Linked DNA regions of Mytilus edulis. Each later gene encodes a partner of the first gene's protein in a complex. Links are inferred from orthologs where the notes say so. Each region holds a gene or a part of one and is shown in the gene's direction. Other genes may lie near its edges.

What was found.
Region 2: nuclear pore complex protein Nup98-Nup96-like (region 1) and PCI domain-containing protein 2-like share a complex: the UniProt entries of both Drosophila melanogaster proteins name them as parts of the nuclear pore complex. The link is inferred for Mytilus edulis from reciprocal best matches to the Drosophila melanogaster genes Nup98-96 and PCID2.

Annotation. Positions count from the first base shown.
Region 1 is NC_092351.1:7,551,195-7,558,867, forward strand, and holds the start of nuclear pore complex protein Nup98-Nup96-like, read left to right. Parts: upstream 1-4,196; 5' UTR 4,197-4,285; intron 4,286-7,673. UniProt on the Drosophila melanogaster protein: Part of the nuclear pore complex (NPC). Required for MAD import as part of the Nup107-160 complex and required for nuclear export of Moe probably via its association with Rae1. Plays a role in nuclear mRNA export.
Region 2 is NC_092346.1:45,879,585-45,887,211, reverse strand, and holds the start of PCI domain-containing protein 2-like, read left to right. Parts: upstream 1-4,090; 5' UTR 4,091-4,187; coding exon 4,188-4,223; intron 4,224-6,846; coding exon 6,847-6,888; intron 6,889-7,627. Other genes in the region: trafficking protein particle complex subunit 14-like, read right to left, coding at 1-109, 3,514-3,846. UniProt on the Drosophila melanogaster protein: Required for the export of nuclear mRNAs and involved in mRNA trafficking in the cytoplasm.

The DNA of each region.
Region 1 (7,673 bases):
TGTAGGTAAAAAATAGCTGAAAAGTATACAGATTTCTGGAAAGACAGTTTTTTAACGACCAAAATAACCCTAATGGAAACAAACTAAGAACACGCAGAAAATTAAAAAAAGAATTCAAATTAGAACTGTTTGTATTAATAGATTTAGATCGATACATGATATCAAATTTTATAAAAATAAGTCATCTACATATTGAACAGGGTAGACACCGTAAATTACCTTTGGAAAAAAGATTATGTCCTCTCTGTAAATAGGAGGTAGAAGATGAATATCATATCATTTTGCTTTAAAACGTCAAATTTTAGAAGGATGTAGGCAAAAACTTTTTCAGGAAGTAGAGAGTATAGTTCCAGATTTCACCCAAATGTCTGATAAGGAAAAAATTGCATTTGTGTTTACATTTAATGAGTATGACGTAACTGAAATTATTGTATAGGGATTTATGTTTTAAATTGGTTGAATATTGAGCATTCATTTGTTGCAAAGAAATAGCCTAGCTGATACGAAAAACTAGTCGATGTAACAAAGTTATGACTATTTTATATTTTTCTTATAGTAGGCCTATTTGTTATGATATATTTTATAACAATTACATCACCTCCTCCAAAAACATCTAAATATGGAGTCTTATATGATATGAATGTTGTTTAAATCTAAATATTGTATGTTTGTAATGATTGTCATGTTTGTCTTGGTAACAATCCAATATTTAGATTTTACACCAATAATACGATTTGATTTGATTTGATTTGATTTGGTAGGAAATATCAATGTACAATTTTCGTTAAGCAACCAACCATCAATCATCTACATACTGGAAAAAATTACTAAGCAAAATAATTGGAACAAACATTATGTTAACTTGGTCTTAAAATTAAATCTTTTTAAATTTCATTTCATTTATTAACCGGGCAAAAAGTCTTAGAAATCAGGGACAGTCTGAACTATCTTTAGAAATAAGAAAAACTCTAAAAATTAACAAATCTTAATGAAAACCCACGTGAAAAATCCTACGAGAATCATTAAGAAAAAAAATAAAGTTTTGTATTTATAAAAGAGGGGCGAAAGATACTAGAGGGACATTCAAATTCACAAATCGAAAATAAACTGACAACGCCATGGCTAAAAAACAAAAACAAAAACAAACAATAGTACACAAAACACAACATGGAAAAATAAAGACTAAGCAACACGAACCCCATCAAAATGGGGGTTAGCAGACCCTGTTTCACATGGGGCACCCGTCCTGTTGCTCATAATCACGGTAGGTATAGTGTCCGGCTAGGATCGTGGTTTTTCGAGTGATTTGATCGTTTTTTTTCGAGTTTGACCACTTTATTTCAAGTGAATATGATAAAAAAAATATAAACAAACAGACTTCCTTTCTGACAAGACGTGATATAAGATCATATAACAGTTTGAGTTTAATATTCAAGGCTATATGTACAAGGTGTGTTAGTATTAGAGAATGAAAGATATTATTAATCCGACATTCATGATTTTTTGTTTATAAATGTTGTATTTAGCCTTACAATGCTTTTATTCCACAAAAAAAACAACAGACTAAAGCGTTTTTTAAGCAGTTAAGCTGCCTTATGCTACCATCCTATAGATAAATTTGTGTTCTTCCCACTGAATGGTGTTAAAAGTGCTATTGTTATTATCTGGCTGGTTAATATGTTATTAGAATAACTAATTTGGCACTTTTTTCATACTTTCAATTCTGGAATGCAATACATATGACCAGAAAAACCTTAAATGATCGTCGAACTACCAAAAAATTTGAAGTTGCACATAAGAAGTAGTGCTCAATAGAAATCCGTTCGTAGTTTATTATCCTATGTGCTTTTGGCTAAGATGTCAAAGAACAATTGTATGAAATATTTCATCGCCGAAAATCTCTAATTACAAGTCGTTTACATTTCCCAAATGGCAAAAGGCACAGGAATATTGTTCATGCATGTACACGGTGTCACCAAATCTCTATATGATAGAGGAAATAAAGTTATATATAGTTGTCCAAGTCGGCGGTAATTTTAACTTACACGAAACGTAAGCTATTAGTATTCTGATGTTATAAAACCCCCCTCTTTTTTGAGAACTTGTAAAAGGTGCGATACTTACCCCTTAACCATATACTATATATATATTCATCTATGGGACAAGATAACAAGTCAAATGAAATATAGTGGAGTCACTGGGGTCACCCACCCCCTTCTGTTTGAGAACTTGTAAACGGTCGAGATCCCCGCCCATACACCACATATATTCTGGTATGTGACAATAAAACAAATCAAATGAAATATAGGGGGTATCATGGGGGTCAACCCCCCTTCTTTTTGAAAACTTGTAAACGGTTAAGATCCACACCCCGAAACCATATATATTCTTGTATGTCTTGTATGGGACAATAAACTAAATCAAATGAAATAAAGAGCGAGTCCACTGGGGATCACTCCCCCCTCTTTTTTTGAGAACTTGTAAACGGTGAGATACCCACCCCTTTACCATATTTATTGCTGTTTGTCATTTCAAGAAAATTTGAATGACATACAGGGTCAATTTCCTAGACGTCACATAGGCATATCATTTTACTAGACCTAACCAATTTGTACTGGACTTTGCCCAATGTCAGGCGACCATGAGAATGACGAATTATGGAAGCTCTGTTTGGAAGACTTCGTAACATTATCCTGTTACTATTATTTCTTGTTTATTATAAAATGTAATTGATGCAAAAATAAGTCTAGGTCAATTGAATTTACTTTAATTATTTTTTTTAATAATTTCTGGGCCTATAAAAATTTTCATTTATGGCTCATTCTAAAGAAAACATATAAATCTTTCAAGCAGTGTAAAGCCCAAGAATGTTTTACCAATTGTTTTATAATCACCTGTCATTTTATTCACATCTTGGAATGGAGTGACATCACGGACTTGGTGAAGGTAAGGGTCATTTACATTTTATATTGTCAGGTCAATCATACCTCAATTGCCCGGCATAGATTAGGATTGTAAAAAATCTGCCATAGATTTTGGATGGCATGACGTCACATTTGCCATAGATTTGGAACTCACCATAGATTTGAGTCCTACAGATATAATCAATTCACCGAAGTTTCGTGTTAATTGTTTACTAGTATGTGTTTTTCAGAGTTATTTTCAGACATACTGACGACGGACGGCCGGACAGACAACGATATACCATAATACGTCCCGTTTAAAAACTCAGGGGTTCTGACTTCACCACGACAAATACTATTAGCTCTTACAACAAAAGTACCATCAAATGAAGTTGAAAAGACTATGAGTCCCCTGCACTATGTTCTAAAAACCTTTTTATAAAGGATCCAAATAATAAATAATATAAATCCGCTAGTACGTGTAACTGGTTTAAAAAAGTTAAATGTTAATCCTAGGTTCAAAATGACAACGTTTGATTTCTTTAAATATTCACAACAAATTTGCTATAATCCATACATGTAACTGTTTATAAAAACCATTCTTTATTTTTTAAAGAAATGAATGTCTGTAACATATCTTAATTACCCGGCCATTTTAAAAAGATTACTATTTGTGGACGTTTCCGTAGATTTTACTTTTTGGGGTGAACACTATATCTATTGAAATAAAAACATGACGCAAAACCAGTTAATGTACAACAACAACAAAACACACACAAAAAGCAACGTTTGGTCTCGTGTATACTTTAATAAATTGAGCTATACTGAAGTCCACTGAAGGACGTGCATAATGTCAAATCATGAAATATTTATTGTTTTAGTCTATAAGAAAACTTGTAATATTTCCGTTGCTATTTTTGGTTGCCGATTTTGATACTGTGTTACATCACAGACACGGTCTCTGAAAAGAATACGGAGAAGTGACTGTGTGTTAAACGTTGATTTATCGAACGCATTAATAATGCAAGCCTTGGGAGTAAAAGTCAGAGAAAAGAACTGTTGCTAAAGTAAATGGATACATCTAGAGAAAACCAGAACAGAATAAAATTCCCTTTACTAAAAATAAATCATATTTAACTGATAGGCGTAACAAGGCGTGGCTAAATGTGCTTAAAGGGGCGTTTTTCCACATTCTCACTGGTCAATTCTAACTTCACTCCGTTAAAACTGGTTTAAACAGGTAAACACTGTATTTTCCCTTTTCTATTAATAGAAAATCACTATAATATGTGTCTATAAACAAATATTATTTGTTGGGTTCGACATTCGGACCTTATTGTTCTAGTACGAAAGCTCGTTTATCTGAATTCAATTTTATTAAGGTGAGTTGTATATTTCCTAATAATCAGATCATTTTTTGTAGATATCGTTATATATAACAACTGTTGAATCAGTTTTCGGGAATTCTACTTTTGAAACGGCAATAGTCCATGCTATTAAGTTGTTTGTAACTTTGGAATGTATGTTAATCATATCAAAATATAACTTTAGATCTTCACTGTAAATAATAACAGAAATATGTATGAACAATATTGTAATGTTTTGTAAGTGAAGACAGTTAAATGATTTGACCTGAACCGGGCGAGGCCGGGTTAACAGGTTAACAAAACATATACATCTGAAACAATTTTCAGTAGGCATATCGGAGACTGAAATAGGTGGACAGATATATATAGTAAAAAAAAACTTTGGAAGCACAAGGTTCGTGGTCATTGGAATAAATAAGTGTTTTTATATCCTCTTAAACAGATTTGGCTGAATTTTCATGCGGGAATTAAGGGCCCAAAAAGGGCCAAAACCAAGCATTTTTTAGTTTCCAGACAATAACTCGTGTTTAAGAATATGGATCTCTCTAAAACTGTTACAAATTACCATGAGACAAATTTCAGGTATATATATATATGATACGGTCAATTTGTAAATTCAGGGATTTTTTTTAATTCCTGAAATTTCAGTGATTTTGTATAATCACTGTCAAACTGATAAGTGATTTTATCAAATCAATGATTTTGACCGTAGTCGGGATTTTACAAAATCACTGAAATATTTAAGATCTTTTATACATGTTATACAAATTCCCTGATTAAATCCAGTGAATTTGCAAATAAAAGTATTTTTTTATTCAAAAATTCTATAAAAAAAAAGTCTTCACTCAACAAGTTTGAGGCTCAATTAGGCTTTGTTTTAATACTTATGTCTTTAGATCAAGAGCAAACTTACTCACAAAAGTTCTAATAATTGAGGGAAAATTAAATGTAACATAACATGTATCGAACCAGGAAAAAATAAGAAGAATTTTTAAAACATTATTCCTAAAAGTCACACAAAGACAAAACAGGCACTTATTATTATCCTGTTCGAAACTACGTTTTTTTTTTTTTTATTACAGTGCTTCTATAGCAATTACTGAACAGTATAAACCTATTATATCAAATATATATAGACAGTGACGCAACGATCATAAGATACACAATTTTCTTCTTGATACTATCTTATGATCATAAACAAGCTTCTGTCCAAGTTTGGTACAAATCAAGGATAGTTTATGAAAGTTATTAAAATTTTAAAACTTTAACCACAGAGTGAATGTAATGTTTCCTCGCAGAAAAACTAAGTCCATTATTAGTAAAATACGGAAAAGTGGAAATTTATTTTTACAAAATTTTCTTCTTGATACTATCTTATGATCATAAACAAGCTTCTGTCCAAGTTTGGTACAAATCAAGGATAGTTTATGAAAGTTATTAAAATTTTAAAAACTTTAACCACCGAGTGAATGTAATGTTTCCTCGCAGAAAAACTAAGTCCATTTATAAATAGAATACGGAAAAAAAAGGAATTTTATTTTTACAAAATTTACTTCTGAATACTATCTTATGATCATAAACAAGCTTCTGTCCAAGTTTGGTAGAAATTCAGTATAGTTTAAGAAAGTTATTAAAATTTCAAAAACTTTAACCACAGAGTGAATATTTGTGGACGCCGCCGACGACGACGACGCTGACGACGACGGAATGTAGGATCGCTTAGTCTTGCTTTTTCGACTAAAGTCGAAGGCTCGACAAAAATCAAATAAAAAGTAAATATTTGTTTAATGTAGGTATGAAGTATTTTTTAATGCGGAAATGTGATGAAAACAAGTAAATACAACCCTATTTTCATCAGATGAAAATATGAAATATTAGTTTGAAGCCACTGATTCCCAGTTTTGGAGTCCGTCAGCTGTGTTAATTGACAATTTCAGATCTTTCGACAAGCAGTCAAACTGTCTGCAACTCCTCCATTTGGGATGAACAATGGTTTTTTTCTTCTAAATGTGGATGTTATTGGAAGAATGGATGTGAACAAAATAGGTGTGTCTATCGAAAAGCTGGAGATTGAACATTCTGCAAAAAGAAAGAATTTACTACACTTAATAGAAATGCACGAACCTCATATAATACAGGCATACGAACACACTTAGATAATAAACCAAATCAAGTGCTGAAATCTTCGATACAAATATTTTGAAGTATTGTATTGTTTAAAGTATGAACATGAAGGTGGTGGAGTTTTAACCCTATATAGCTGGAAACACTCGTCACTGACTGTAAATATACTGGAATCAAACTAAGTTGATATCAAGGCAGTAAACATCTTAATACTAGTACCTGGAAAAAAAAATAGTTCATTGATGGCTTTTACACATTTCTTTGATACCCCTTTGACAATCTACTAAACTTAGCACTCTGACACTGGAGATTTCAACATGCCATATATTTTATGGGAAACACAGGCGAGGTTCAAGGAAAGACAACTTGAAACCCAATAATTATAGTAAAAAGTTCATAGAATCACTTCAGTGAAGAAAGTCTATCACAAACAGCAAAATAACCAATAGTTTAGATATATACTTTATATTTACAACTAATCCACCAAACATTGAAAATATATCAATCAAAGATGAAATAAAAGGGACAATATGATTGAAGTTGACAAATGCCTTGATAAAGAGGTGTTCTTTGAATCTAACTAAAATATATATATCTAATTTCGTTATATTACATTATGTAGTGTAACGAAATCAGAGATCTATATTTTAATTATATTGATGATCTTTTAAAAAACAAATATTGTACCATACAATACTGAATGATGGAATTACTTTCAAGAAATATTACAACATGTTATTTTAAAATAACAAAACATATTTCACCCACGATTCTGACAACCAGGTGGAACGTGCTTTGAATGGACCAAGTTAACAGAGAGATCAAAATAATAATAAGAAAAAGTAAAGAGTTTATACAACCAGGTTAAGCGTGCTTTGAATGGACCAACAGAGAGATCAAAACAATAATAAGAACGTGCTTTAAATGGACCAACAGAGATATCAAAACAATAATAAGAACGTGCTTTAAATGGACCAACAGAGATATCAAAACAATAATAAGAAATGCTTTGAATGGACCAACAGAGAGATCAAAACAATAATAAGAAATGCTTTGAATGGACCAACAGAGAGATCAAAACAATAATAAGAAATGCTTTGAATGGACCAACAGAGAGATCAAAACAATGATAAGAAATGCTTTGAATGGACCAACAGAGAGATCAAAACAATAATAAGAACGTGCTTTGAATGGACCAACAGAGAGATCAAAACAATAATATGGAACATGCTTTGAATGGACCAACAGAGAGATCAAAACAATAATATGGAACATGCTT
Region 2 (7,627 bases), on another chromosome or scaffold:
CAATGGACACTGTCAAATAAATTTTTGTATCGCACGATGAAATATTATTTACTGTTGCTTCCAATGGAACAATAAATGTTTTGTCATCAACAAAATAAGGCTTCTTCTCCTGAAATTAGAAAACAATAAAGTAAAGTGAGTTCAAAATAACTCACATTAGCATGTGTTTTTAACTGCATTTAACATTGATCAAGGTCAATAGCTCAAAATTACAATGCAGCAATAGTGGTTTTGGTTGAAATGTGTAATTTATATATCTATCTTCATTCTTCACAAGACACATACATGACATATACACATTTGAACATGTGCTTGATATTTTGTATAAAATATCACATTATGTACATTAATTGTATGTTTTCCACATTTTCTTTTAATATATATTTTTTCTCCCAAAAATGAAGGAAAATTCACAACGCATGTATGGTATTTTAAAGCTTCAATAACATGAATAAGAAAGCAACTACACAACATAAAATCACTGATAATAGATCTATATAAACTTTGGTAATTTGTTCGGAATTCATGAGGAATTCTAGTATTTACTTCTTTAATACATTTTTTAACAATACCACTGGACACTTATCAAATGACAATCAATCATTTTATAACATTCCCTAATGATTTCCATAGAAAACACCTATATTGATGGTTGGAGCCAGTCCATGAATGTTTATATGGGGACAGAGTCCCCAATAACAGTAGAAAATTCAATAAAAAAAAATACGGGAAAATTTCCCGAATTTTTCATTGTACTAATGAACTCAAAATCGTTCAAATTTTTTTTGTCATGTTTTGAAATCCCGGACCTGCGCAGAAATGTACAATGTACTTCCTTTTTCCAGTCTCGTTTGTATGAAACTTTGAGTAAAATATATATTTATTAGTCTAGTATAAAATAGGAAGGAACGCGCAATACCAATTTCATTTTTAATAATTCCTTGATATGAAAAAACGTTACCTGATGATAGCGTTTCTTTGTTTACATTGCATATGACGTCATAATTTAAATAACGTCACAACTAAATCCCTAACAACAGAACCAAAATCGGAAACGTTACGGTATTTCCGTTTCTTTTTTTTAAAACAAATATTTAAGTTACAAAAAAATAATTCATACAGACTTCGTCCCCATTTACAGGTAATGCCTGCCTCATATTATTGACTAAAGTAGCTGAATTTATCTGAGCAACATGGAAAAGGCAACTAGTGCAGCAGGAGCTAACACTTTTACCAAAATAACAAAGTTTTTTTTATGTTTCTTTCTGATCAATCTTGAGTTTTCTCTAATGTGTTTCTTTAAGCCATAGATTATTATAGTATTAATGAATGGGTGTTTTTATAATAGCCCTGTTATATGTCCAAGGTCTGTAATAATGGTTGAGGAAGTCTGTAATGGCCCGAGGCAACGCCGAGGGCTATTACAGACATCCGAGGCAATTATTACTGACCGAGGACATATAACAGGGCCATTATAAAAACACTCATTTCTTAATACATTTATTAACCAACTGATCAAAAGTGTATGTGTTTGTGCTAACTTGATGTACTGTCTTACTCTTTTAATGACAATTTAGTTTGAACAAAATAATTTGTACTTCACCATTATAAAGCTTTAAATGTACCAAATATCCAAGATATTAAGTTGAAAGAGATATGTGTTAAAAAACAGGATGAACAGTGATCCCTTTATATGGTTTTTTAATGTTGGTTGCTGGTTACTAAATTGAATAAAATACAAAAAGGTATTATACTCTTTACAACTTAGTTTTATTAACTTTATTAAAAACCCTAACAGGGCTTAATACAGACAAACTGGGCATTAATACAGGGCCATTACAGAAAAACAGGGCCATTACAGACAAAACAGGGCCATTACAGAAAAACAGGGCCATTACAGAAAAAACAGGGCCATTACAGAAAAACAGGGCCATTACAGAAAAAACAGGGCCATTACAGAAAAACAGGGCCATTACAGAAAAAAACAGGGCCATTACAGAAAATATGTAATTTTTAATAAACAGTCACTTTTGGCAATAATGCACTTAGTTGGTTAATAATACTTTTAACAAAACTTCTTGTTTTTGATACAAACTATATTAAGGATCCAGACAAAGACTATTTTTTATATAATTAATTGTATTTACCAAATGAATATAAAATATGTTAATAAATATAACCATTATATGGAGACGAAGTCCCCAATTACGGTAGAAAAATCAATAAAAATTTATAAAAAATCTAAAATTCGGGAATATTTCCCGAATTTTTTATACTACTAATGAACTCAAAATCGTTAACTTTTTTTTTCAGATCTACTTCCGTTTCCGGTCTTGTTTGCATAAATAAACACAATGTGAAACCTGGAAAGATTTGTTCTTTAAAAAGATGCATAATTCCAAATACATGAAATATTAGATTTCATTGAAAAAATTAATTTGTATTTCTCTATGAATAAAAAGTTGCAAAAGACTTATCCAGAACTTGAATAATTTGTGAGATTGTAACCTCTGTCTCTGAAAATCACTATTTTCTGAAAAACAATCACTGATACCTAAATTTTTGCATCTTAAAGTTGTTTGTCATTTTGTATATGTTCCAGACCATATGAGTATTTGGACCGTACGCGTACGGTCCGGACCGTATATGTATACTCGTACGGTCCGACCATACGCGTACGGTCGGACCGTATGAGTATACGCGTACGGTCCAGCTGATCATACGTTTTGGGATCATGTGGGTTAAATTTAAACAAACATTTATCAAAATCTTTATTTTTAGTTATACAAATTGTTATTATTACAAAATAGCTGGCCGATGATAAAGTGAATAAGCGAACAATTGAAATTAAATATTTGCTTAATTGTATATCCGTGAATTATATTTTGTTACTCTGGCCGAAGGTGACACTTGCTTCTAATAAGAACTTCGTATTTTTTACATTTACATGTTTTGTTAATGCATGTTCCTTTGCGTATGCATTTCTTTTGTAAAGTTCATAAATATTCTAAAACAATTGTCCTCCCACATTATGTTTACTTCCGATATCTTCAATTTCAATGAGCATACTGAGCTGCAATTAATGAATAACTGGCCTGCAAAATACAGGAGATTAACAGATTAAATAAGCGTGATCTTTTTAAATAGTTAAAATATTAAGTTTTTATGTCAAATGCTGTTGAACTTTTTATATTAATTGGAGATATAAGTCATGTTGATCTGTTATATACATTTGTATCTAATAAGCTTGACCAACTTCTTAATATCTGTCAGACCGTACCCGTACGGTCCGACCGTATGCGTATTTTGAAAAAGTACGCATACAGTCCAGACCGTACGCGTACGGTCCAAATACTCATACGGTCTGGAACATATATACTAATCAATAAGACACTTGAAATTGTTCCCAATTAGTCCAAATAAGTTTTTGGATATTAAACTTATATGACAGCCCATTTTATTTGAAGATTCTTTGATACATGTAGGTCTTACAACTTTAGAAAATCAACTTACATGTAGTTTTAAATGTGTTTTTGTGTCAGCTGTGCTTTTAAACACATTGCACAAAAAGTAACTTTTATTGTAAGACAGTTCATTTTCGTCGATATTAGGTATATTTTTTGCAACGTGGAAATTGACGTGTCCATAAAGATTTTCAATTCTTTTTTTCCATTTATTAATGTTCCCATTCAAACACGAAGGAAAATTAACAATCACATTAACAAGATACGTTTTCCCAATATTTACACACTTAAATTTGTCACTGTATTGCACATCACTTCCATTTTGTTTCTGCTTCTCAAATATATGCAAAATTATGTTAGAAAGATCAGCATCTTCTTCCATGATCTGTGCTGTCTGCTAAAATCGTAGAGTACAGTGGTATTGCACCAATCAAGAAGTCCTTTCCCGAGACAGGAAGTCTAATTTATGACTATACAATTAATTGAAATTTGTGTTATTTGTGATTCATTTTCTTTTTCTAGTTTTAAATTATTTATAAAGAATACATAAAGAAAACACCGTATCACAAAAACAACTATCAAAATTGGTCGCAAAGACGTGGGAAGCTGTATGAGGATACTATCTGTTCAGTACTATCCTTGTAAAATCAAAACTTCCGGTTTCAATTTTCACATGGGTTGCATTGATTTTTAAGCCCTGTAAACATTTATTGGCCATTGAAAATGGCAACTTGGTCAATGAACCAGTATTTTCAAACAGTAAGTTTATGTTTTATAGGAAATGAAAAAAATCACTTTGCTCCTTAAAATATACTTGTTTATATTTAAACTGGAAAACAATTTTTTTACAAAAAAGAAAGAGTAAAAAATTATACATGATATATAATATATAAGAAAGACAAAGTGCTGACAAAGTTGTCCAAGACATAAAAAACATGGCTAAACAATTTAAGGTTCATCATAACAAACGGACAAATATGGCTGTATTTACATGCCAAAAATTACTCTGAGTACAGACTTACCTGTGCAGTTGGAAAAGTTTTAATGCCTGGCATCAACTAGATATAATAAAGTTAAATGCATTTTGTGTTTCAGAAAGATAAAATCTCTTTTGGATTTTTCCTTCGTGCAAAAGTTCTGAAAATTGACTAAGTTGTGGTACAACTATGAGATGCTCCCTCAGGTAAAAAAACGGTTTGTATTGTTTTGATTGTCCTTAATTGGCGGTATCGGGATTGTTCGTCCTGATTACATGTTCGCCCTAGGTTCGTTCGCACTGAGTCTGTTAGCCCTGATAGTCCGTTCGCCCTGGGTTCGTTCGCCCTATATTCATTTTATTTATGATATGTATATATTACATTAACGAACGAAATATATATATATATTTATATATTGAAATTCATGTATATCTATTAAAAGTTAAATACAGAATATTTGCCAAATTTATATTAATTAAATAAAGTTCTTGGCTGCATTGTTACACTTTATTTTATAATTACTTTTAATTACTGTTGATTGAATTTTGATTGCTGATTATAAGGTATCATTTGAAATCTTTGATATCACTGATTGTTATATGAATTGTCTTTGATGGATTAATAATGAAAATAACGTTTTTCTCAAATAAAATAGTCAGCTTGGATGGGTAAAAACACTGATGACAAGTGATCAATGTACAGCAGTGTGACTGTGTTTTTGGTATTTGTTTCACTTATAGTAATTCATATTAGTGCTTTTAAATATTCGTTTAGGAAATAAAGGTGTGCGAAGTACAGTTCGGAATTGATCTTGTATAACTGTTACTGAATATTTTTATATTGTTAAAATGTATCAATAAAGTTAAATTTAGACTTAGTCTTTAGTTGTTTTATGTCAAATATTTTGTAGTCTTTGAATTCACAGAAACTTATCCTCGTAGCAGCTTGAAGACAACAAGTCTTCAGTTGTTTCACATTTAAAAATATTGTAAATATTCGACCAAATTGTAGACTGACTTCACCAAATTCAATTATATACACACAACGCAACACTATACTAAAAAATAAAATCAGGGCGAACGGACTCGAGGCGAACAGGTATTAGGGCGAACAGAAACTAGGGCGAACCAGAATCAGGGCGGACGGACCCGGATTCTTAATTGGCATGGACAAGAGGTATCTTCACAACTGCAGTTGAGATAAAGAGTTCGTCTGAGTCAGTGAGTGGACAGTATCAAAGTAATGCAGGTGTTTGTTTATTTTTACACCTTCTGCAGAAAGGAAAAAAATGCCCAGCAAAAACCAAAAAAGATTTTATCTTTCTTTAACACAAAATGCATTTAACTTTTATATATCTAGTGGATGCTAGGCATTAAAACTTTCCAAACAGCACAGGTAAGTCTGTACACAGAGTAGTTTTTGAGGTGAAAATACGGCCATATTTGTCCAATTGTTATGATGAACCTTAAACAAAAAGACAACAATTTTTTCTAAAAAATGGAACAAAAACTACTTGACCATCACCATGATCACTGACAACTGACACTGTAAGCTGACTGTTAATATGAGGCAGGCATAACCTGTGAATGGGGAAGAAGTCTGTATGAATTATTTTTTTTGTGACTTAGATATTTGTTAAAAAAAAAAAAAAACGTAAATACTGTAACGTTTCCGATTTTGGTTCTGTTGTAAGTGATTTTACTTGTGAGTTATTTAAGTTATGACGTCATGTTCAATGTAAACAAAGAAACGCAATGCATCAGGTAACGTTCATTTATATCAAAGACAAAGAATTATTAAAAATGAAATATTGGTATTGTGTACCTTGAGTTCCAATATTTTACTAGACTACACAACGAGACCTGAAGAAGGAAGTTGATTTCTGCATTCTGGGCAAATGTGGGAATTAAAAAAAGGGACAAAAAGAATTTGAACGATTTTGAGTTTAGTAGTACAATGAAAATTTCAGGGTTTTCCCGATTTATTTTTTATTGATTTTTCTACTGTAATAGGGGACTTCGTCCCCATATGAATTGCCAAATGTTTAAATGTTCTACATATATTTAAAAAAATGTTAATAAGTTGTATAGCTAGTCATGCTAGTGTCAGTTAAATTTGCTTCCATACAGTTGGTTTTTTTCCTCATAGTTCTTCATTCCTGGCTTCAAAGCATTGAAAAACTAATGAAAACACAAAAGGTTCAAAATAGGGATCAGAGAGTGATCAATAGATTATCTCACAACTGCTTCTAGTGACCACACATTTATGACATTAAGATTTGTTGCTGGAAAAGATTTATTTAGAATTTTGGCTTTACACAAACATGCCTAATGTTAAACAGTTTATATGTAACCATCTTAGAATATTCAATATAAGAGATAATGACAAAGTATCTTTATTTTTAGTTAGATGATGCCTTACAAGAAAGAGATGGGTTGAAAACAGCAGTAAGTTATTGATTTTAGATGTAAATCTATTTTTGTAACAATTTCTGAGCAATAGTTAACAGAATATGTCCCTTTTTTACATGTAACATGTTGAAAATGAAAAAAGTTAATGTGAAATAGATTTTGATAAATAAATTTAGACAAGATGAGAAAAGTATTTTTCCTATTTTGCACATTAGCTAAAGTTTTTCATTACTCTTTTCTTTTCAATTTCATTTTAGTTTTTGCATGTGTGCATGTGAAGAAAAATTATTTAAAGTTATCAATAATTAGTCAATTTTTATACGCCTGTCAAAATTTTGACGGGACATATTATGGTATACAAATGTCCGGCGTCCGTCCGTCTGTCCGGCGTAAACATGTTGCACCGTAACTTGAGAACGACTTATCCCAATTTCATGAAACTTGATATTGTTGTTTCTTATGATGGTCAAATGATCTGTATACTATACTTTTTGATGAAAATTAGATTAAAACTTTTTGAGTTACCGGACTTTCTAAATAAAACAGGGGTGTGTTTTTTCCCATGTCCCGCCGTATCTCAAAAACAATTTATGATAATTGATTAAAACTTTACACACTTCTTAGTTATATTAATCTTAAGATCTGTATACTTTTTGGTGATGATACAAAATTTCATTTTTCAGTTATTGAGTATTTTGTAAAAAAGGAGGGTTCACATGTCACGCCCTATCTCAAAAACAATTTATGCTTATAGCTTTAAACTTTACACACTTCT